Linked DNA regions of Arabidopsis thaliana. The protein of the gene in region 3 purifies or fractionates together with the protein of the main gene of each other region. This does not show direct contact. Each region holds a gene or a part of one and is shown on either strand. Other genes may lie near its edges. The genes, in order: Fes1A, AT1G36280, CARB and AT3G18860.

Evidence for each region.
Region 1: the proteins of CARB (region 3) and Fes1A fractionate together in Arabidopsis thaliana (co-fractionation; one large-scale study listed by BioGRID). This does not show direct contact.
Region 2: the proteins of CARB (region 3) and AT1G36280 fractionate together in Arabidopsis thaliana (co-fractionation; one large-scale study listed by BioGRID). This does not show direct contact.
Region 4: the proteins of CARB (region 3) and AT3G18860 fractionate together in Arabidopsis thaliana (co-fractionation; one large-scale study listed by BioGRID). This does not show direct contact.

Annotation. Positions count from the first base shown.
Region 1 is NC_003074.8:2,869,360-2,873,866, forward strand, and holds Fes1A (Fes1A), read left to right. Parts: upstream 1-1,610; 5' UTR 1,611-1,856; coding exon 1,857-1,942; intron 1,943-2,028; exon of another isoform or gene 2,029-2,328; coding exon 2,329-2,471; intron 2,472-2,560; coding exon 2,561-2,611; intron 2,612-2,726; coding exon 2,727-2,948; intron 2,949-3,069; coding exon 3,070-3,172; intron 3,173-3,263; coding exon 3,264-3,750; 3' UTR 3,751-3,973; downstream 3,974-4,507. Other genes in the region: AT3G09340 (Transmembrane amino acid transporter family protein), read right to left, coding at 2-206, 294-508, 650-924, 1,016-1,167; AT3G09360 (Cyclin/Brf1-like TBP-binding protein), read left to right, coding at 4,437-4,498.
Region 2 is NC_003070.9:13,638,976-13,643,659, forward strand, and holds AT1G36280 (L-Aspartase-like family protein), read left to right. Parts: upstream 1-1,532; 5' UTR 1,533-1,624; coding exon 1,625-1,783; intron 1,784-1,860; coding exon 1,861-2,013; intron 2,014-2,105; coding exon 2,106-2,321; intron 2,322-2,399; coding exon 2,400-2,582; intron 2,583-2,660; coding exon 2,661-2,882; intron 2,883-2,959; coding exon 2,960-3,076; intron 3,077-3,156; coding exon 3,157-3,300; intron 3,301-3,384; coding exon 3,385-3,486; intron 3,487-3,558; coding exon 3,559-3,627; intron 3,628-3,714; coding exon 3,715-3,933; 3' UTR 3,934-4,147; downstream 4,148-4,684.
Region 3 is NC_003070.9:10,466,379-10,472,731, forward strand, and holds CARB (carbamoyl phosphate synthetase B), read left to right. Parts: upstream 1-1,577; 5' UTR 1,578-1,785; coding exon 1,786-3,132; intron 3,133-3,277; coding exon 3,278-3,970; intron 3,971-4,074; coding exon 4,075-5,598; 3' UTR 5,599-5,833; downstream 5,834-6,353. Other genes in the region: RWA4 (O-acetyltransferase family protein), read left to right, coding at 1-17, 123-185, 269-325, 443-539, 620-775; CAB3 (chlorophyll A/B binding protein 3), read right to left, coding at 6,065-6,353. UniProt on the Arabidopsis thaliana protein: Large subunit of the arginine-specific carbamoyl phosphate synthase (CPSase).
Region 4 is NC_003074.8:6,499,879-6,507,678, forward strand, and holds the start of AT3G18860 (transducin family protein / WD-40 repeat family protein), read left to right. Parts: upstream 1-1,789; 5' UTR 1,790-1,895; coding exon 1,896-1,961; intron 1,962-2,399; coding exon 2,400-2,731; intron 2,732-3,047; coding exon 3,048-3,151; intron 3,152-3,368; coding exon 3,369-3,437; intron 3,438-3,647; coding exon 3,648-3,708; intron 3,709-3,922; coding exon 3,923-4,062; intron 4,063-4,483; coding exon 4,484-4,673; intron 4,674-4,847; coding exon 4,848-4,909; intron 4,910-5,085; coding exon 5,086-5,174; intron 5,175-5,651; coding exon 5,652-5,724; intron 5,725-5,804; coding exon 5,805-5,864; intron 5,865-5,960; coding exon 5,961-6,107; intron 6,108-6,194; coding exon 6,195-6,233; intron 6,234-6,336; coding exon 6,337-6,374; intron 6,375-6,459; coding exon 6,460-6,546; intron 6,547-6,650; coding exon 6,651-6,816; intron 6,817-7,137; coding exon 7,138-7,215; intron 7,216-7,324; coding exon 7,325-7,461; intron 7,462-7,720; coding exon 7,721-7,797; intron 7,798-7,800. Other genes in the region: LPAT5 (lysophosphatidyl acyltransferase 5), read right to left, coding at 1-93, 198-328, 409-962.

The DNA.
Region 1 (4,507 bases), on a different chromosome or scaffold from region 3:
CCTGAGAGATAGGAGAGTAAGCTAAGGTCTTTGAGCCAAACTGTAGGAAGAACAATAAGAGTAGCTGATATAGCAAAGATCTGAGGAGAATCTAGAGATACTCCAACGATGTTTAATGTAATGTTGGGGAAAACTCTCGATAAATTATCGCTCATCATGATTATATACTCCACACAACATACGTATAACTCCATGTACAGAAGTATCTGCAACTCTCAAAAGAGATCAAGAACCCTATATATTAGTTTGGAGATATGTGAAGTATATATGTAAATCATTTCCATATAACTCACGGAGATGATGAGGCGGCCTGTAAATCCAAAGGCAGCTTGACCAATGTCCGGGTAGGTACGGAGATCAGAAGAGCTCTCAAGACATCGTTTGAGGAGGATACCGGTGTAGCAAGTGATGATAGCAAAGGATAAGAGTATACAAAGCCCGAGCCATCCTCCTTCTTTCACCGCGTAAGGCATTGTGAGTAGACTTATTCCACAAAGGACATTGATTCCTTCACCAAAAATAGGTTCAACTTAAAGAGAGATTGAAACTTTTCTTTTTGTTATGACGATAAAATCTATTCAACCGAACCGAATGCCTAAACCCTAAAGACTTTTGAGACAGAATCAATATCGATACTACTACGTCTTACCATTTAGAACAGATTGGGGAAACGAGCAGAAATTTGGTTCTCCATACGAGAGATCGGTGTTGGATAACCCGACCTGAGATGAAAGGAATGATACATCGTCTTTCTCAGAGAGCAGCGGTTGTTTGCTTGTGGAAGACACAAACGAATTTGCAATAGAGGTTGGACGTCTCTTGTATAAGGAAGCGATGGAGCTACTGAATGATGTCTCAGTACTTCTCCCTTGTATGAAACTGACCATAGGAGGTGTAACTCCGGTCAAGAGATCCACAGAGTGTCTGAATTTTACATGAAAAAAAGAAGGAAGAATCTTCACAAACACTTCAAATAATTTCGTTAGATATCGAAAAACAAAGTATTTTATTTTACCTATAACTCTGAGGCCAGAAAGCGGAATCATTCTGGGATAATGAAAAAGATGCATTGGAATCATCGTCGTCATTAACATATGAGACATCGACATGGCAGTCATCGTCATCTGTCTGAATCAATATGTCCCTTTCTTGCTCCTCAAGATCCATCTTCGTCGTCTCTGCTTCAAAACAGAGTTAAATCAGAGCAAGTAACAGATTCCAGGACAGAACAAACGAAACAGGAAAAAAAGGAGGGAACAGAGAAGTGAAATGAATATTGGAAGAAATATAAAGAGACGACGAAGAGACTCGGTATTGAGTTCGATGTGTTGTCACGTCTGACGTCTGTCAACTTTGTATTAGTCTTAGGAAAAAAACACTTTGTATTAGTCCATTGATACTACTTGATCATATGTAACGAATTAAATTCTGGTCGACTGGTCGTTAAATTTAGAGTGGAAGGTAACGTTCACATGTTTAAAAGGTCCAAAGTCAAAAGGTACATGCGTGGCATAGATTTGCCAATAAATTAAAGAAAAAAAGGTAAATTCAAGAAAGGCTTATCGAGCTAATTTAAGCCCAATAATACTGAACTATTTGGGCTTGAGTCTTAAAGGCCCAATTTGTGGAGGAGGCGTCATCGTCTTCGCTTTTCCTTTTCCCTTGAGAGGTCGTCGACGAGGTTTAAGATTTTTAAGAATGTTGTAGTAGCTTCGCGAATAATCTCAGGTCTTCTATAAAACCAAACTAGCGATTAGCCGACTCTTCCTCTTTATTATTACAAAGACGAAAAGGCTTCGAGTTTTGTAATTTCTTCTTCTGTTACAAGTTCTTTTCACTGTGAAAGTAATTCTTCAATGGCGAAAGACGGACCTAATTGGGATGGTTTGCTTAAGTGGAGTCTCTCTCACGCCGACGGTACTCGACCCACTCGCCAGTTGAGGTACGGACATTCATCTTGTAGTTGGTTTTTTAGGTTCTGTCTTTTGATTTGTCTGAAACTGATGGGATGCTTGGTGGGTAGTTTAGGTATCTGTGTGGCTATGATTGAGCTTTCACTTGAGGAGATGAATCTTATGAGTGAATTCGAATCTGGGTTTGTTTAAAGTAGTTTTCTTTTTTGAAGATATCTGTTCAGTTCATCGGTTTGGTTAAGATTCAATTATCGAATTCTGCTGTTATGTAGGTGAAAGGTTATCTATTTTCTCGTTTTTACATGAAACTCTGTTAATTTTTTTTAAGGGAATTCACGATTTGTTCATGTCAAATCATTCTGTATGTGTTTTATTGTGGATTGTTTTGTTGATTTGAGTTGTTTTAATGAGACAGTGAGGAGGATCGAAAATGGTTTATGGAGGCTATGCAATCGCAGACTGTAGATGTAGTCAAACGCATGAAGGAGATTACACTAGTTATGCAAACACCTGAACAAGTTTTGGTGGAACATGGAGTAACACCTGAAGATATCCAAGGTGCGTAATTTGTGGCTATAATACATAGCTTAGATCTTTATCTTTTGCCATTGTGTGTAGGGTACTAATTGAGTTTATTATTCTGGTAGATTTGCTGGATGAGCTGCAAGAGCACGTTGAATCGATCGATATGGCTAACGGTACATTATCTCTAACTTGGACTTTGCTTTTTTTTTTTTTTTTTTTTTCTTTCCTGTTCTGGTTAGCTCAATTTGAACATTGCTTGTAACAACTTGTTTACTTACTATTGTGTAGATCTTCATTCAATTGGAGGCTTGGTTCCTCTTCTTAGTTTCCTTAAAAACTCTCATGCTAATATTCGGGCAAAAGCTGCGGATGTCGTTAGCACAATAGTTCAGAACAATCCTAGAAGTCAGGAACTTGTTATGGAAACCAATGCTCTGGAGTCATTGCTCTCGAATTTCACTTCAGACACTGATATTCACGCTCGAACCCAGGCTCTTGGCGCAATATCATGTAAGCCTGCTTCTGATAGTTCATTTTTAGTAAAGATTGAGATGATCAAAAGCTTTTGTGATTTCTATTTTACTTGGTTTGTGATACTAAAAGAGACTTATCTTTTCAATATGGGATGTAGCTTTGATTCGCCATAACAAACCAGGAGTAACGGCTTTCAAGCTTGCCAATGGTTATGCTGGCCTAAGAGACGCCTTGGCATCTGATAGTGTGAGATTTCAAAGGTAACCCACACAAATATTCTTATCATCTGCGGATATAAAATCGTGGAAGATTCTTGAATTGTTGCTCATTTTCTTTATTCAAATTCTCCAGGAAAGCCTTAAACTTGTTGCAATATCTACTGCAAGAGGATGATTCAGACCGCAGTATTGCCACTGGACTTGGATTCCCCCGAGTGATGATGCATCTTGCCTCTAGTGACGATGCTGAGATCAGAGAAGCCGCTCTTCGTGGATTACTTGAGCTTTCAAGAGAGAAAAACGATGGAAGTAGCAGCATAGATAAAAGCGATGAGAAACTGAGGCAGCTACTAGAAGAACGGATCAAAGGAATCACCTTGATGTCACAAGAGGATCTTGAAACGGTTAAAGAAGAGAGACAGCTCGTGGATTTACTGTGGAGCATTTGCTACAATGAACCTTCTTCTCTGAGAGAAAAAGGACTTGTCGTTCTTCCCGGTGAAGACGCATTGCCTCCTGATGTCGCTAGCAAGCTCTTTGAGCCTCCTCTTAGAGCTTCTGCAGCAAACCGTAATGCTACTGAGAAGAAAGATGAACCTATGAAACTACTTGGACCATAGACGAGAAATCAAAGCTAAAACTTTTTATTACTTTTCCTTGTTTTTTATGTTTTGTAACTTTTCAAATTGTCAGAAAAGTTTCATAGATATATGTATTATGTCAATGATCAAGGGCTATGTTATGTTAATTTTTGTTTTCATCATTCGAGATCTTTAGTCTTGTTATTGTTGAGATTAAGAATATTCAGCTTCAATGCTTTTTCAATTCAACAAGTGTTCTATACGATTTCGGTTTAGCAACAGCTAATACGGACCCGATCTAATTGATCGGTTAAAATTGGTAACTTTGAATTGCGGTGAACCGAAGAACAAAACCAAAGCGAACGTCACAATTACTTTGCAATCCCTAAAGGGACAGAGTTCGAATCAAGGCAGTCTCACATATCGGAGAAATCTCTCGTCACGTCTCTCAGCTTCGCCTTCAACACCGTCGTCGCCGTCACGGCCAACTCCGGTATTGTTATATAGATACAATTACAGTGAACTAGATAATCTCATCAAACCCTGATTCTTTCCACTTCCTCGCACGATTGTGTGAAAACAGTTACTTTCGCTATAAATAGTCTGATCTTCTTTCTATTGAGCAGTAAGATTGGAAGCTGTTGTTTCGAATCGATTCAAGCCTCGAATCTGAGTTTCGGATCGATATTAGAAGCTAAGGTAGGAGCTTTTTGAGTGAAGGAGTTATGGTATGGTGTAACCATTGCGTGAAGAATGTTCCCGGAATACGCCCTTATGATGGTGCATTGTAAGTGTT
Region 2 (4,684 bases), 3.2 Mb from region 3:
ATCGGTTTTGCTATTTTTTGGTTTGACGTCGGTGTGAGGTCTCCATGGTCTTATTGGTGCTTCCGACGTTCACAGGTTCTATAGGAAAGCTTGGCGAGATCTATCGTTCCTTTGTTCAATTTTAGCGCTTAGGTTTCAATGTTTTCCTATGTGGTTCAGTGGTTCTCTCTTTTCTTACATTGGTTTCTGTTTGTATATTAAGGGCTTGATTGGTTCTCCCTCTGCCACCCGCAAACGCTGCGTTTGCGGGTGGTAGCGGTTATTAGCGGTTGGCACCAATCATAGAAACCGCTAGATACCGCTTTGGACCGCTCGAAATCGCCAGATTTCAAAAGCTCATTCCCGCAAGCGTTTGCGGGTGCGGGCGGTAGCGGTTAAGTTAAAAAAAAAAAAATTAATTCATTAAAATAATTATATCTTCCACCCAAACCCTATACTTATTCTTATCAGAAAACCCTAATCAATATATTGAAACCCTATTCTCTCAATTATGGCATCCACCCAAACTGACGAAAATCAAAGTCAAAATTAAGAATCAAACGTAAGTATGATCTATCCTTTCATCCATTCATTAGCTAGTGTAATTCTCGGAATATTTCATGGCATCGTTTTTTTTTTTTTGGTTTTTTTTGTGTTTTTTGATTGAATACATGTTTTGATTTGTTTTCTCGATTAGAAAATCATTTGGTCAGACGAGACCACATTTGCGTTACTTCAAAGACTTTGATTTCTAAGTGATGTTCAAAAAGAAAATATTCTTAAGAATATTAACGTTTGGAAAAATTTTGAGTTGGAGATGTGTTAAAAATCGTTTGGATATCTTGAAGAAACTTTATCATATGTATAGAGGCAATCTAGAAAACCCGTGAGGTCAACGTTATTTACAGTTTATCACACTACTTGATGCAATTTTTGGTGATTTACCAAATGCATAAAGTATTAAGTTTTTTCTTACAAAATCTATTTATTTTTGAATTTTCAGTTTTATTTATGGTTTTAATTATTAAGCATGTTTAATTTTTCAAATATTATCAATTTATCATAATAATATATTGTATTTTTTCTTTTAATAGTAATATATTATATTTATTTTGGTTATTTTTTATTTAATTATTATCGCACCCGCTGGTTTACCAGTCATAAAACTCCCGCAACCGCACCCATTACCAAACGCTCAACCAGTCGTTCAAAACACTTGATAACGCTTGAAACCGCAACCGCCCGTTTCCGTAAACTCCCGCAACCGTAACCGTACCCGCTGTATTTAAACCAGTCTGGCCCTAAGGCTAGTGTACGTTAGTTTCTCCAAATTTGTTTGGGCAAAACTTCCCTCTTCCGTCTGCCGGCATATGTAATTTTAACTTATATCCTTTCTTTGGTTCTTAATAAAATTCAGATGACAAAAAAAAAAATCGCAAACAAATATAACTTAATTCAAATCAAGAACAAAACGATAACCAAACTAAATTAGAAATGATTTTAATTTCTGTATAACCGATAAAATAAATAGCAGAACCAAACCAAACCAAACCGCGAACCGATCTCGCACTCATATTGCTCTCTTTCTTCTTCTCTATATGCTCTGTTTTCGAGTAAATTGCCATAAACCCTAAATCACACAAAAATGGAGCTCAATTTATCTTCGATGGCCACCAAAATCCCTTGTTCCGGCCTTATACCCATAAGAAGTCTTTTAAACCCATCAAAATCTCTGTCTCATCTTCCAAGAGTTTCATTCTCTGTTTCTTCTCCTCATTCTCTCAAGCTAATGACTTCAACAAAGGTAAAGCCTTTCTCTAGTTTCAAGCCTATTTACTTTGTGGGTTTTTGTATGTAATCTGATAAATGAATATACTTTAGTTGATAGCAATGGCTAGTGCAAGTTCCAGAGACTTTGAGATGTCGAATTTAACAGCATTATCGCCTTTGGATGGACGTTATTGGGGAAAAGTTAAGGACTTGGCTTCTTCTATGAGCGAGTTTGGATTGATCTATTTCCGAGTACTTGTCGAGGTATTGGGTTATGTTCTGATTCATTGATTGATTAGGAAGATTGGTTTTGTTTGAGTAGTTAGCTAAAGTCTTCAACTTTGTACTTTTGTTAGATCAAATGGCTTATTAAGCTTTCAAATATACCTCAAGTCACTGAAGTTCCAAGCTTTAGCAAAGAAGCTCATAAGTACTTGCAAGGTATAATCGATGGATTTAGTATGGATGATGCATTGCAAGTTAAGAAGATTGAGAGAGTGACAAATCACGATGTGAAAGCAGTGGAGTATTTTTTGAAACAAAAGTGTGAATCACATCCAGAGATTGCTAAGGTTAGAAACCGTTTCTTACTCTTCTTAGGGTTTGGATGCTTTGATTGATGATGCATTGACTAAATGTCTCGTCTTTAGGTTCTAGAGTTTTTCCATTTCGCTTGTACGTCTGAGGACATCAACAATCTTTCCCATGCTTTGATGCTTCAAGAAGCACTTAGTTCGGTTATACTTCCTACCATGGATGAGTTGATCAAGTCTATCTCTCTGATGGCTAAGAGCTTTGCATATGTACCTATGCTTTCACGAACTCATGGGCAGGTAATGTCCAAAGAGAAGTATTATTTTTCAGTTCTATCTATCTCTTTGTTAAAGCAATGGTCATGATTTATAATGCAGCCAGCTTCACCTACAACATTGGGGAAGGAAATGGCGATTTTTGCTGTGAGGTTAAGTGTAGAAAGGAGATATCTTTCAGAAACTAAGATTAAGGGGAAATTTGCGGGTGCTGTTGGAAACTACAACGCGCATATTTCCGCGTATTCTAATATTGACTGGCCTCATGTTGCAGAGGAGTTTGTTACTTCTCTTGGATTAACATTTAACCCATACGTGACTCAGGTATATATATAGTTTCTCTTGATCAAATTTTTCCTGGTGGAATGATTTGTAAAGTTCCTCACTGGTGGTTTTTGCAGATTGAACCACATGACTATATGGCTAGACTTTTTAATACAATTAGCCAATTCAACAATGTCTTGATTGATTTTGACAGAGATATATGGAGCTACATATCTCTAGGTTACTTTAAGCAGGCAAGTATTAACAAAAATATGTCCGAGTCATTTGAAAAGGAATGGGAAAATCTGTCTCATTGTTTGAAATTTTGATGCAGATAACTAAAGCGGGTGAAATCGGATCATCGACAATGCCTCACAAAGTGAATCCTATTGACTTTGAGAACAGCGAAGGGAATCTAGGTAAAGCAAATGCAGAGCTTGCTTTTCTCAGCATGAAGCTTCCCATTTCACGAATGCAGGTTTGAGCATACTCCACTAGATCTTGCTAACAGTAATGGTGTAGAAGTAAGTAAGCCTGAAAATTTAAATGTACATATCTGCAGCGTGATTTAACAGATTCAACTGTCTTGAGAAACATGGGTGGAGCTTTAGGACACTCTCTTCTGGCTTACAAGAGCGCGATACAGGGAATTGGGAAGCTTCAGGTATTATTATTTCCGTTGCCCTAAGAAAGAAAGGTCTTCACTTGTCATAGACTAAGGATGTTCTTGATATAGGTTAATGAAGCTCGGTTAAAAGACGATTTGGATCATACTTGGGAAGTCCTCGCTGAACCGATACAAACTGTAAATTTCTCGAAACTTTCTAGTCTTATTATAATGATCAAGTTATTATTCCATGTACATTGGTAACTGAAGGAATAAAAAAAACAGGTGATGAGGAGATATGGTGTTCCAGAGCCGTATGAGAAGCTGAAGGAGCTAACAAGAGGAAGAGCTGTGAATGAAGAAAGCATTAGAAAGTTTATTAAAAGTTTGGAATTGCCTGAAGAAGCAAAAGACCAACTTTTGAAGCTAACTCCACACACATATGTTGGCGCTGCTGCTGCATTGGCACTAGCCGTGGATGATGCTGTGCACTTGGGACATTAATAATATGATCATATTGGTGTAGATGATTCTGCTTGTTGTATTATGATTTTCTTTTCCCAAATCCAATGGGAAAACAAGAATCAGTTTATTGATCGTTGTGTTATGTTTCTTTTTTGAGTTTCAATTAATCTAGAGCCTCGTTTTGATCTTAAGCGTCATGAATTATATAAGTTGTGTGTGGTCAATGATTCTCAAACCAATAAAAAATTATGGTTATTAAACAGACCAATAGATTGAAACCTGATCCAAGGGCCATCTTGCTTCCATCTCAACATGTCTTTTTAGTCGAAAAATACTTTTTCGGCCAAATGATGGTGAGTTTGTTTTTTCTTTTTGCTTGGAAATGATGAATATTCCTGAAATATCTATCTTTTAACATTCGAGCTACTAAAGATTTTAGATATTGTATCAATCGTCAATACTGTTTAGCCACATCATTGAACTCTCTAGGGAATGAAATCACAAACCTCCTTCTTTATCCATACACATTTTCTCTCATGCTATCCAATGAATCCTACAATCTCTTCCATTAGAACTCCACCAGTAATTCAAAATTGCACTCATTGACTTACTTGATCATTGTCTCTTTCCCATATTTTGACAGATACTTAGCTGACTAACCATTAACCCGTTCATTAAATCTTCCCAAAATAGTTAACAATTTTACTTTTTGAACCCTTTAAACTCTCTAGTATACTTAATAGGTACCCATTCCACATTCCTTAGTAATTCCAAGGAAATTTTTAAGTTC
Region 3 (6,353 bases):
TCTTGGATTCCAATAACGTCAGTACCAACAACTTTGTCTTTTCTTCATTTTCATGGTTCATGCTAAATCTTGAGATAATATGCTTTCTTGATTTATGACCTTTGGTTTTAAATCTGGAACAGTGTCTACATCTGTCTGCGAAATTGCACCCAACAGCTACGGAGATTTTCCCTGACACTCTTTGCGTAAGATTCTCAATCTCTTAATTCCTTATTGTTACCTTCTTGTTCACAGTGCACACAGCTTTTTGACCATGATCTCTCTCTAGGTGGCTGGGCAAGATAACTCTCGAGACCTACATTTCACAGTTTCACATCTGGTTAAGGTTAGTGGGATCTACAAATCGAAGCATATGTTATTATAAAGAAACTTCACAATGTGGTTAGTGAAGCCTTTATGGTTAACATATGTTAGTATAACAATAATTCTCAATGTGGTGCAGATCGAGTGTGCCAAATGGGCAGCCAAAGTTGCTATTATCAATCATCCCAGAATACCCAATGCTCAACTTCATGCTCACCACGGCCATCTACGTCTTGGTAAAAAAGCATCGGTAAAACCATTCTATGCTTTTATCGTTTTATTACTTCTTACACTTTTTTTTTCCTTCTTCATTCAGGTATCTGTTCGACTTTTCGAGCTAACCAATACATTAAAATCAGTTTTCATACCCACGAAAGACGACAAACGGCTGCTCCACAACGTGATTGCTATGGCTGCGATATCATTTTGTTTATATATTATCGGTCTTATTCTTCTCTTGATCCCACATTAACTTTTGTACTAGTCCCTGATCCCTTATTGTCCAGTTGCACCATTATCAAAAAGGATGACGACTCTGAACAAATGTTTCCATTACAGAAGAGACGTCACAAACCTGAGAAACACAAAGTTAAAGTTAGTTGCACAGAGAAAAAAGCTTTTACTACTATATCAAACGTGCAAACACATATAATACTACTATATACAGTTAAAAAGATTGATTCTATAGAGAAGGACATGCGGTACTAGAAAAGTTTGCAGTTTAAGGAAACCTTACCAGATGCGACTGTTATATATAGTACATTATCTGTTTAATCTACTGTAAAGTCAGCAGAAGAGTTGATGATCTGAGCGAAAGCAAAAGCAGTAAGTACCTGCGACCGCATTGACTACAAAATAAATGCGGTAATTAGTTTTGTAATTCGTTGACTTTCTTATTTACTCATTTTAAAACCGATTTGGAATATATACTATATTTAAAAGTCATATAGAGTATAACTTTAATAACATGACACGAATAACATTTGTTTTTAATGAAATAAATCTATATCAAATAATATTTATTGGATTTACTACCAATAAAACTCCATTCATTATAACACCATTTTATATTTTAAACACTCTTGAATAAAACAATAATATTCTAATTTCCAAAAATTTAATTATTTTTTTAAACCAGAGACATAATATCTATCATATTATGGATACGATTCCATAAATGACGAAATGATACATTCTAACCAAAAAAAAAAAAATCATTTCTCTTTGCAACTTTTTGGAAGAGTTAATTATCTTTTTATGTCATTTATCATATTTTCCCAATAATTGTTGTTGAAAAAATGGATTGTCATAATCAAATACAGCAGGATTGAGAAAGACAAAATAAATACCAAACCGGAATAATCCAAATTTCGAGAAACCCTAAAACCCTCTCTCTCGTGTCTCACTCTCTTCTGCAGCAGTCTCCAGTTACAGAGCCGACACAGGCAAAACTTAGAAGAAGAAGAAGAAGAAGAAGCAAAAATGAGAAACCATTGCTTAGAACTCTCTTCCAATTGTTCCTCCATTTTCGCTTCTTCCAAATCCAATCCTCGTTTCTCTCCTTCCAAGCTCTCCTATTCCACTTTCTTCTCTCGCTCTGCCATCTATTACAGATCAAAACCAAAACAAGCCTCGTCTTCTTCTTCCTTCTCCACTTTCCCCCCATGTCTCAATCGGAAAAGCTCCCTCACGCATGTTCTCAAACCCGTCTCAGAGCTCGCCGACACCACTACCAAGCCTTTTTCTCCGGAGATCGTCGGCAAGAGAACCGATCTGAAGAAGATTATGATTCTCGGCGCTGGTCCGATTGTCATTGGACAAGCTTGTGAGTTTGATTACTCTGGTACTCAAGCTTGTAAAGCCTTAAGAGAAGAGGGCTATGAGGTTATCCTGATCAATTCGAATCCTGCCACTATCATGACTGATCCGGAAACTGCTAATCGGACTTATATCGCTCCGATGACTCCTGAGCTTGTCGAGCAGGTTATTGAGAAAGAGAGGCCTGACGCTTTGTTACCAACCATGGGTGGTCAAACCGCATTGAACCTCGCGGTTGCTCTTGCTGAGAGTGGTGCTTTGGAGAAATACGGTGTTGAATTGATAGGAGCTAAGCTTGGTGCGATTAAGAAAGCTGAAGATCGTGAGTTGTTCAAGGATGCGATGAAGAACATTGGGCTAAAGACTCCACCTTCAGGGATTGGGACCACTCTTGATGAGTGTTTTGACATTGCTGAGAAAATTGGTGAGTTCCCTTTGATTATCCGTCCTGCGTTTACTTTAGGTGGTACTGGTGGTGGAATTGCGTATAACAAAGAGGAGTTTGAGTCTATATGTAAATCGGGTTTGGCTGCGAGTGCGACAAGTCAAGTTCTTGTGGAGAAATCCTTGTTGGGTTGGAAAGAATATGAGCTTGAGGTGATGAGAGACTTAGCTGACAATGTTGTCATTATCTGTTCCATTGAGAATATTGATCCTATGGGTGTGCACACTGGTGATTCCATCACTGTGGCACCTGCACAGACTCTAACGGATAGAGAGTACCAGCGGCTTAGGGATTATTCCATTGCGATTATACGGGAGATTGGTGTTGAGTGTGGTGGATCTAATGTGCAGTTTGCTGTCAACCCGGTTGATGGTGAAGTTATGATCATAGAGATGAACCCTAGGGTCTCAAGATCTTCTGCTCTTGCTTCCAAGGCTACAGGGTTTCCCATTGCTAAAATGGCTGCCAAGTTGTCTGTTGGCTATACCTTGGATCAGATTCCTAATGATATCACGAGGAAAACACCGGCTAGCTTCGAGCCCTCCATCGATTATGTGGTGACTAAGGTTTGTCATTCCATACTTTTGGCTTTATTTGTGTTGCGAAATGAGATACGCTTGACTTTGAAGATTTACACACATCTATCCACTTCATGATATATAAACTCAAATGCATATTTTGCTTAACGATATCTATTTCTTTACCATGCAGATTCCTCGATTTGCATTTGAAAAGTTTCCAGGATCTCAGCCATTGCTAACGACCCAGATGAAATCTGTTGGGGAATCTATGGCTCTCGGCCGTACATTCCAAGAATCTTTCCAGAAAGCTCTGAGGTCTCTGGAGTGTGGATTCTCGGGTTGGGGTTGTGCAAAAATTAAAGAGCTAGATTGGGACTGGGATCAGCTGAAATACAGCCTAAGAGTCCCAAATCCTGACAGGATCCATGCGATATATGCTGCCATGAAAAAGGGTATGAAAATTGATGAAATCTACGAGTTGAGCATGGTGGACAAGTGGTTCCTAACCCAGCTTAAAGAGCTCGTGGACGTCGAACAGTATCTTATGTCCGGAACCTTGTCAGAGATTACAAAAGAAGACCTTTACGAAGTCAAAAAGCGGGGATTTAGTGACAAGCAAATCGCTTTTGCTACAAAGACAACCGAGGAAGAAGTCCGTACCAAGCGGATTTCTCTAGGAGTTGTTCCATCTTACAAGAGAGTGGATACATGTGCTGCAGAGTTCGAAGCGCATACACCATACATGTACTCTTCATATGATGTTGAATGTGAATCAGCTCCAAACAACAAGAAGAAGGTTTTGATTTTGGGTGGAGGGCCAAACCGCATTGGTCAAGGGATTGAATTTGATTACTGTTGTTGCCACACATCTTTCGCCTTACAGGTATGTCTTTAGACAATCTAAGCGTCTCTCCCAAAAGCCAGTAAACATTGTTTCAACTTTTTTATGCTAAACTTACTTATCTACTTTTTTTAATTTATTTGCAGGATGCTGGATATGAGACCATAATGTTGAACTCAAATCCTGAAACAGTATCCACAGATTATGATACAAGCGATAGGCTCTATTTTGAACCTCTCACAATCGAGGATGTTCTCAATGTTATCGACCTTGAGAAACCTGATGGCATAATAGTGCAATTTGGTGGTCAAACTCCTCTGAAACTTGCTCTGCCGATCAAACATTATTTGGATAAGCACATGCCCATGAGCTTGAGCGGAGCGGGACCTGTTCGCATCTGGGGTACATCACCTGACTCCATTGACGCTGCTGAAGACAGAGAGAGGTTCAATGCAATTCTCGACGAGCTGAAGATTGAGCAGCCCAAGGGAGGCATTGCAAAGAGCGAAGCTGATGCATTAGCCATAGCAAAGGAGGTAGGGTACCCAGTTGTGGTAAGACCTTCTTATGTTCTAGGTGGACGAGCAATGGAGATCGTTTATGATGACAGTAGACTAATAACCTATTTGGAAAATGCGGTACAAGTTGACCCAGAGAGACCTGTTTTGGTAGATAAATATCTTTCTGATGCCATTGAGATCGACGTTGATACCCTTACTGATTCCTATGGAAATGTGGTGATTGGTGGAATAATGGAGCATATCGAACAAGCTGGTGTGCATTCTGGTGACTCAGCTTGTATGCTTCCAACACAAACCATCCCAGCTTCTTGTTTGCAAACTATTCGAACATGGACCACTAAGCTGGCGAAGAAGCTAAATGTATGTGGGCTGATGAACTGTCAGTACGCAATCACAACATCTGGGGATGTTTTTTTGCTGGAAGCCAATCCCCGAGCTTCCCGTACTGTCCCTTTTGTGTCAAAAGCCATTGGACACCCTCTTGCCAAGTATGCAGCGCTGGTCATGTCGGGCAAATCTCTCAAAGATCTTAACTTTGAAAAAGAAGTTATCCCTAAACATGTCTCTGTGAAAGAAGCTGTTTTCCCGTTTGAGAAGTTCCAAGGATGCGATGTGATACTCGGGCCAGAGATGAGAAGCACAGGAGAAGTGATGAGCATCAGTTCTGAATTCTCAAGTGCGTTTGCAATGGCTCAGATCGCTGCAGGTCAAAAGCTACCTCTATCAGGCACAGTCTTCCTCAGCTTAAACGATATGACCAAACCGCACCTGGAGAAAATCGCGGTGTCCTTCCTCGAGCTTGGGTTCAAAATAGTTGCCACCTCGGGAACAGCTCATTTCCTGGAACTGAAAGGCATTCCAGTGGAGAGAGTGTTGAAGTTGCATGAAGGAAGACCACATGCTGCTGATATGGTGGCGAATGGTCAGATCCATTTGATGTTGATCACAAGCTCGGGTGATGCTCTTGATCAGAAAGATGGGAGACAGCTCAGACAAATGGCTCTAGCATACAAGGTACCTGTTATAACCACTGTTGCTGGTGCATTGGCCACTGCTGAGGGAATCAAGAGCTTGAAGTCAAGTGCCATTAAAATGACCGCTCTTCAGGACTTCTTTGAGGTAAAGAATGTATCTTCTTTGCTCGTCTGAGTTAGTTTTTTTGTTGTGTGTTGATCGTTTGTGTGGAACTTTTTTACGATAAATTTTAACGGATTTTGTTACCCATAAGCATTTCTATGAATAATCTTCGAAAATGCAGCAAACTTGTGATTTATCAATCGGCTTTGTTCCTTTAATTCAGATATACACAAGCCTTTGATTGTATCAGGTCATGTAACGCTTGGCTTAAACTCGAGTTATGTTCTATAAGATTGTGCAATTGTAGAAACAGCCTCTTCATTTGAGCGAACCCAAGAACATTCCATTTGAATTTTAGTTAATACGAGACTAGTATGAGAGAAAATTGAGTTTGATTAATGACAAATCATACAAAGTCTTGCAAATTTACATCTGAAAGTCTCAAACCATCACATACAACCTTCTCTTTCTCCTCATGTCTCTCACTCGAATTCAAAAGACTGAAAGAAAAGCAAAATACAAACTGATAAAACTTGGCTCACTTTCCGGGAACAAAGTTGGTTGCGAAGGCCCATGCGTTGTTGTTGACTGGATCGGCCAAATGGTCAGCAAGGTTCTCTATCGGTCCCTTACCAGTGACAATGGCTTGAACGAAGAATCCAAACATAGAGAACATAGCCAATCTTCCGTTCTTGAGCTCCTTCACCTTCAACTCCGCGAAAGCCTCTGGGTCGGTAGCAAGACCCAATGGGTCGAAGCTGCCACCGGGGTAAAGCAAGTCCTCGGCCTCTCCCAACGGCCCATTTCCTGCGACTCTGTAGCCTTCA
Region 4 (7,800 bases), on a different chromosome or scaffold from region 3:
GGATGTGGATGTGAACTTCTGATGGCTCAATTCCATAAACGTTGTCTAAGAAAGATGGGCAGCGGGTTTTATAACCGATGGTCACATCATAAACTGCAAGTGCAATAGTGTTGCATCAGAGTTTGCGTTTTTCAAGAAGAGAGGAAAGGCCTAGGATCTTAAATCACTGATGCAAACCAGCAAAAGTATAGACAAACCTGCGTCAAGTGAGCAACTCAGTTCTTGCAAGCAGGAGACGAAACCTTTTGTCCTGGGAAGCAGCACGTTGTTCAGTATCGGAAGGCCATTTTCAGCAGCAAATTTCTTACTCCTTTGGCATTTAGCCTCTCTGCATAAAGTTCCATTGTAAAATGCTTTTAACTAAAAGGTCTCTAAACAAGAATGATACTCCAAAGAAAGGAAACGTACGTGTAATCTGTGCCCTCGGGGAAAAGAGCAAGCCATAAAGCGTCTCGGGGATCCTTAAAACTCGAAACTATCTGTCTCAAGTTTGCTTCATCGACTTCCCATCTCCTCTCAACTGGAATAAACTCAAAGAGGTGAAACGCCCAACCAAAGAGAGGTAATTTCATCAAACTACTCTTAAGCACATATTTGATATTCCCAATCTGGCCTTTACGCAGTGCAAGATCCCAGAAGTACATCCAATCAACTTCTGTTCGGTGGTTTGCAATGAGCAATACTCGATCCTCGCAAGGAACCTTATCACCAGAGAAGATAACTTTGGTTTTGTTAATCTTCTCAAAGAGGAAAGGCCACAAGGCGAGCCACGAGCCAAAGAAGAAGGAAACACATTTACGGCTATAGCGAATGCTGAAAAGCCTCAACACTACAGCTGATAAGAACCCCCAGAATATCAACATCATAAAAGCTGTTGAAACTAACACCATCAGACATATTATACCTCTTAACACTCTAATCAGAGACAACTTATCAGAATTTGGTACACTCTTTTTTTCCATTTTATACACCTTAAGATAATCTAATTAACCTCCCCCTTCTAGTCTTCTATTCTTGATGCAATGAATCACAAAGTTCATGAATTTCCTGTTACCAGAATCACCATCAGAGCTCATATGGTTGAACACAACATACTTCACCTGCAGGTAATGATCAAAGACACATCAAAATAAGAATCGATAGCAAAGTACTTTATCAACAGAAAACGAAAACAATGTCTTGTAATTTAATAGACTTATTCAAATTCATACAATCTGATTAATGTTGGATTAAAATAAAGAAGAAGCTTGTATTCTCAAACACATATATACATTGTCTAAAACAAAAACTCTCACCAAGATAATCAAGATTCAAGCACAAATCTCAGTGAGGATTAAAAAAGCCAATCAAGAACACAGCATTTGTAAAATTTATTATTGGAAAAAAGAAATTCAGACAGAGAAAGGAACCAGATAGAAGAAGACAGCTTACCATGGAACTGAGCTTCCAGGTTTTATTTATAAACAAACAGTGCAGAAGAAGAAGAATTTAATGGCCGAGAAAAATATCATGAAGGACTACGATCGTTTTGTGAAAATAGGCTCAGAGGTTGTTGCTAATTACGGTCTATGCCACTTCTCGTAGAAAGTAGTACTCTTAGGAAGGTGAGGAAATTTAAACCACTGTCCCCTCCTTTTTCGTCATTATTAAATTCGACACGTCATCGTGTTTCATTGTTCCCTTTATTCAGCTTATTATTATTTTCAGTCTATCAATTGGGCCGGGCTTTGAAAGCCCACAAAGGTTATTTATTATACGTTTATCCTTATATAAAAGAAAGGAAATAAGAAATTAGTTTTTCTCCTGCAGAGTGTTTCTCCTTCCTCAAGTCACTTTTTGAGTCGCAGCAATTTGGCGTTTGGTATCTCTCAATCTGCTGCTTCTCCTTCTCAGTCATGGTCATGGATATCGATTTCAACGAGTACAAGCTCAGGTGCGAGCTTCATGGCCACGATGATGATGTAAGATCTCTTTGCTAAATCCACTTCTTCTTTCTACTGTTTTGATTTCTCGTTTTCGTGATCGATTCTACTCTAGATTTTGAAATTAAGTCTTGTATTCAGTAGGGTTCAGCAAAATTCACCCTCGTGATTCCAATTTCACTGTTCCGCTTTTGATCCAGGGTTTTTCAATTCAATGAGCTGATTTGATAGTTAGTGTGAAGCTTTGTTTTGATTAGTTTTATTATTAGGTTGACTTCTCAACGAATTTGTACTCAATTTGAGAATTTTATCTAATAGGGTTTGATGTTTAACCTTGCGTGCCAATGGCATTAATATAGATCAAATTTATACAATTTTTCGGCAGGAGTGTGATTGTCTTTATGCTATTGAGCTTATGCAATTGAATAATAACTGTGATTGTGACAATGGAAACTCATGGTTTATCAACATCTTCAGGTTCGTGGGATTTGTGTGTGTAATGATGAGAATATAGCTACTTCATCAAGAGATAGGACCATAAGGGTTTGGTCACTGGATCCATCTGATAAGCGCAAGTATACCTCCGAGAAAATTCTGCTGGGTCATACTAGCTTTGTTGGGCCACTTGCATGGATCCCACCAACTGATGAATACCCTGAAGGAAGACTTGTCTCTGGGAGTATGGATACTTTCGTTTTTGTTTGGAATCTGATGAATGGAGAGAATATTCAGACATTGAAGGGTCATCAGATGCAAGTCACTGGTGTTGCTATTGATAATGAGGACATAGTTTCATCTTCAGTTGATCAGTAAGTCCTCCTGTTCATGTAATTTCCTTAGTATGACATTTACCAACTGTTTAGTCAATAATGCCTCTTACTTAGTATCCAGTGAGTGTACTAGCCTGCGGTTTTCCTTCACTGTTTCCCAGGAATTGTATCACATACAGGATATTATATGAATCTTAACCGTAGTTGTAAAGGTTTTATGAGTGTTAATTGTGTGCATTATTGTCTTGAGTAGCTTACTAGCTTTAGTAATACTGGGGTAAAGAGATCCATCAAATTTTGATTTACCCTCTACTGTTGTGTAATGTAACTTACATTTATTTATTTTTATTTGTAGAACCCTGAAACGATGGAGAAACGGTCAGCTTGTTGAATCTTGGGATGCACACCAGTCGCCTATCCAGGCAGTGATAAGGCTGCCATCTGGTGAGCTCGTTTCAGGTACATGATCCAGCTAAAGCTGTCATTTGATGCATTTGTTTCTGTTTTTTTTGTTGTTTTCTTGCTGCCATGGACTTCCTTATTCGATTGTATTTTCTAGTATGATCGTTTTGCAAGCTTAGGTTAAATGATTTTTTGGTTGTTCTTAAGATGCATATACTTCTTTTTGATTAGGCTTGACGGCATATTTTTCACTGATGTTACTTGTACTTACCAGGTTCAAGTGACGCCAGTCTCAAACTCTGGAAGGGTAAAACGAGTCTGCAAACTCTTTCAGGGCATACAGGTGAATTCATTACTCTCTCCCAAATTTCGTATCTCTCAAAATTTCCTTGTCAATATGAGAAACTGCATACCGGAAATAAGATAGAATCTGATACTAGCTGCTCTAAGATATCTTATCTTGTGAAGTGCCAAGACACTGGCCTGTTGTCAGGGATTCCTTGTTATTGGAGAAACTATTGTCTTATACAAGTATTTTTATTTTACAATGCAGATACTGTTAGAGGGTTAGCTGTGATGCCTGATTTAGGATTTCTTTCCGCATCACATGATGGGTAAGTTATTTGCTTCCAACAAACTCATGCCTTACTGAATTTCATTGTCCAAGTGAATCCTTATGTGCTTAACTCGAATTGTGTTGTCTTTTGCATGACCTGGATAAGTTTTGTGATCCGGGGATAATATGATACTTGAGTTTTCTCTTATTTATCCTTTCATGTGTTTGTACACAGCAAAGGTTGTAAATCACTATTTTATTTTTTCTAACAGTTCAATCAGGTTATGGGCACTAAGTGGCGAAGTTCTTCTTGAGATGGTTGGCCACACCTCCCTTGTTTATTCAGTTGACGCACATTCGTCTGGCCTTATTGTTAGTGCCAGTGAAGATCGTCATGCCAAGATATGGAAAGGTGATTACGGGTTCCTTAGTTTCTATTGATGCCTTGGCTGTTCTTCACTTATGTTTCACAGTTTTCTAGGTTATATGAGGTCTGAGATGTTTAAATTTGGAAAATATGTCTCCACTTTTCAGTATGTTGCTCGCTCTTAAAGTTTTCTTTCAATAATAAAGATGTCTATATATCATATTTTTGTGGAAGACGTGTTATAAATTTGATCACTTAGTTGCAACCTATGGAAAGTTAGTTGTTAGTATGTCAGACAGTAATCAACTGATCAGAAACCAGTTTGAAAGGCTCACGAAGATTGGTCTGCAATAGCTGTTATAATAGATATCACTTGCGAAAAGAGACTGACATTTTGGTTTAAAGCATGTTTAGATCTTATAGGTTGATCTATTGTTCTTACTTTGTTATTTTTGTTTTGGTACAGATGGAGTCTGCGTTCAGAGTTTGGAACACCCAGGCTGTATCTGGGATGCCAAGTTTTTGGAAACCGGAGATATTGTGACAGCATGTTCAGATGGAGTGGTTCGTGTTTGGACAGTACGTCATGATGCGATTGCAGATCAGATGGAGATTGATGCCTATGATTCCCAAATTTCTCAATACAAACTAAGCAGGTAATCTGATCATTTATGGTGATCTCTATTCTTATCGACTAAATTCTATGTCCATTGAGTTTTTTTTCTTCACGTGGCAATGCATATTATATGACCTGCTGACGGGGTATGCTTTCTTGTCTTTTATGCTCAAAATATAACTGCAAAGTATATGCGTGCTGTTCTTTATCTCAGGAAAAAGGTTGGCGGATTGAAACTTGACGAGCTGCCAGGGCTTGATTCTTTGACGTCACCAGGTACCATTTATTATCCAATTAATTGTAATATTAATGTTTCGTACGGGAGAAAGGCTAAATTTTAAAGAATCTCAAGAGAACACAAAGATAATTGATAGTGTCTGGCGATCAAATTTGAATAGATTAAGCTGGCATTCTTGTAACATCATCCTCTCTTATTTGATATATGTTCTCAGGTACCAGTGATGGCCAGACAAAAGTAGTAAGGGAAGGAGACAATGGTGTTGCTTATGCATGGAATATGAAAGAACAGAGATGGGACAAAGTAAGTAAACAGAATGAACTTTTATCTTTTTTTTTATTTGTCGACTGCATTTCGTTTTTGCTCTTGACCTGAATGCGGCTTTGCTATATATTAGATCGCATGCATGAATATACAGATAACTTCCCTTTGAAACAATTACCTTGAGGAATATTTGTTACTTTGTTCATCGAAAAGTTGCCATCGGATTAGGGCTTGTAATTTCCACGAATGAGCATGCTGTCTGGTCATAAATTGATAGCATGTACTGCCAGCAATTTGCCTTTTGCGAGGATTTTATTTAATGTGGCAACCCATACCTGAGAGGAAAATTTCATCTGATTTTGACTTCTGATCCTCCTTCGAAGTAGCAATCTCTTAAGTAGATAGCAAGTAAATGAGATAGATTTCTCTCTAACATTTGTTTGCATATGAAGGATTAAACATTGGCTTTTTAGTGTGGTAGAATGTTTTGAGTTCTCACTGCATGCCTTTTTTCAGATTGGTGAGGTTGTTGATGGCCCAGATGGTGTGGCTGATCGTCCAATTCACGAGGGAGTTCAATATGATTTTGGTTAGATTTTGACCTATTATGGAAACTTGAGAATCTCTCAAAATCGAAGAACAAAATTCTTAGCCCTTTTTTTTCTCTAGTTTTCGATGTTGACATTGGTGATGGGGAACCTATCCGGAAGCTACCTTACAATCGATCAGGTACCTGAATGCTCTTACTGGCCTTGTTTTATTACAAGTGCAACCACAAGAAACTGCTTCAGTTTTTGATACTTCAAATCTTTTCTTGTTTGGCAGACAATCCTTATGATGCAGCTGACAAGTGGCTTCTAAAAGAGAATCTCCCCTTTGCATATCGGCAGCAAATTGTTGAATTTATATTACAAAATTCTGGGCAGAAAGACTTCAACTTTAATCCATCTTTTCGTGATCCCTTCACCGGCGGTATAAAATTTTTGAAAATAATTGGTCTGAAATTTTGTTTTTAGGATTTTATTTTAATTTTGTGTTTTGCCTTTTATTGTGTAACAGCAAATGCTTATGTGCCTGGGCAAGCATCTCGTACAGCTGGTATGAATACACTGTCTGTGTCATTTTCACATAATACTTTCAATTTCTTCATTTCTTGTATTGTTCTTTTGCTGCCTCATGCTCTGACTCTTTTCTGTTGCAGCAACTCCGGCAAAACCTTTATACAAGCACATTCCAAAAGTACGCTGGTTCTCTTTCTTTATTAGTTATTACTGTTTAATGTTTCTAGCTTTTTGATCCTTTTTTCTTCCATAACTCTCTCCAGAGAGGTGTGCTAGTTTTCGATGCTGCTCAATATGACGGGATTCTGAAAAAGATGACAGAGTTCAATACTACTTTACGATCTGACGCAGTAAGCTTTCAGTATCAACTTTAGTCACACAAAATGATTAAATGGTTATTTTACTTATACTATTGTTGGTATTTATGTTTCTACAATTTTTCCATCTTTTGAAGGTAAACAATGACAAGTCCCTGACCGAACTCGAAGTATCCAGAGTAGGCGCAATCGTTAATATACTGAAGGACACATCACACTACCACTCTACCAATTTTGCTGACATGGATATTGCTTTGCTTTTGAAAGTGCTACAAGCATGGCCACCGGCAATGATGTTTCCTGGTTGGTCTTCTCTTGTCAATCAATTAGTCAAACAGAACTGTTTATTACATATTGAACTTTTGATGGTAGCCATATGTTTCTCAATATTATGAAGCCACAGCAAAGTCAGTTTTTTCCGAGATGCTTGTTAAACAATCTAAAATGAGATATGTTTTGGTTTATTTGGATGTTATTCTTGGTCTCCTTGTGTTTCTTTTGATGTTTCTTGCAGGCCATAAAGCATTTTGCCTTTCGCTGGCCACTTTATTTTTGTCTTTTGTTGGATATAGCCTTATGTTTATCTTGTGTCAAGCTCTTATACCTATGGTTTTGAATATGCAGCTACTGATATAGTAAGGATGCTCGTTTTGCATCATCATGGAGCAAGTCTACTTATCAAGCATGTGGAAAACAACAATGGTAATCATCTAATTCGTGAAGCTATGCTTTCTCAACATTAATGAAAGTACTAGCTAGTAGGTAATGTCCTTTATTAACTGGTATCTCTCTGTTACTATATATCAATCAGACCTGCTTTTGGATTTGATAAAGAAAGTTACAGAAGATTCTGCTCTTCCTGCAAATCTTTTAACGACTGTTCGTGTCCTTGTTAATCTATTCAAGAATTCTTCATTTCATTACTGGCTACAGACGCATCATAGTCAAGTAAGGACTCTTTCATTTCTATGATTTTATACCAGAACTAGGATGTGTGATGATCTCGATGAACCTACTAATTGGTTTAGCTGTGACTTGCAACCTGAGGAGAAATTTTTGGGTTTTATGTCTAATATACATTGCTTTTTTGCGTCTGGGCATATAAATTAAGTTTCTAATTACATTTAAACATAAGATAGTGCCTATACATGTGTGTGTTTATTATAATAATTTGAGAAGTGGTTTTAATTGCTGTGGATCAATGCAGATTCTTGATGCCTTCTCAAACTGTTATTCATCCCCAAATAAGAATCTGCAGTTGGCTTATTCGACGTTGCTTCTCAAGTA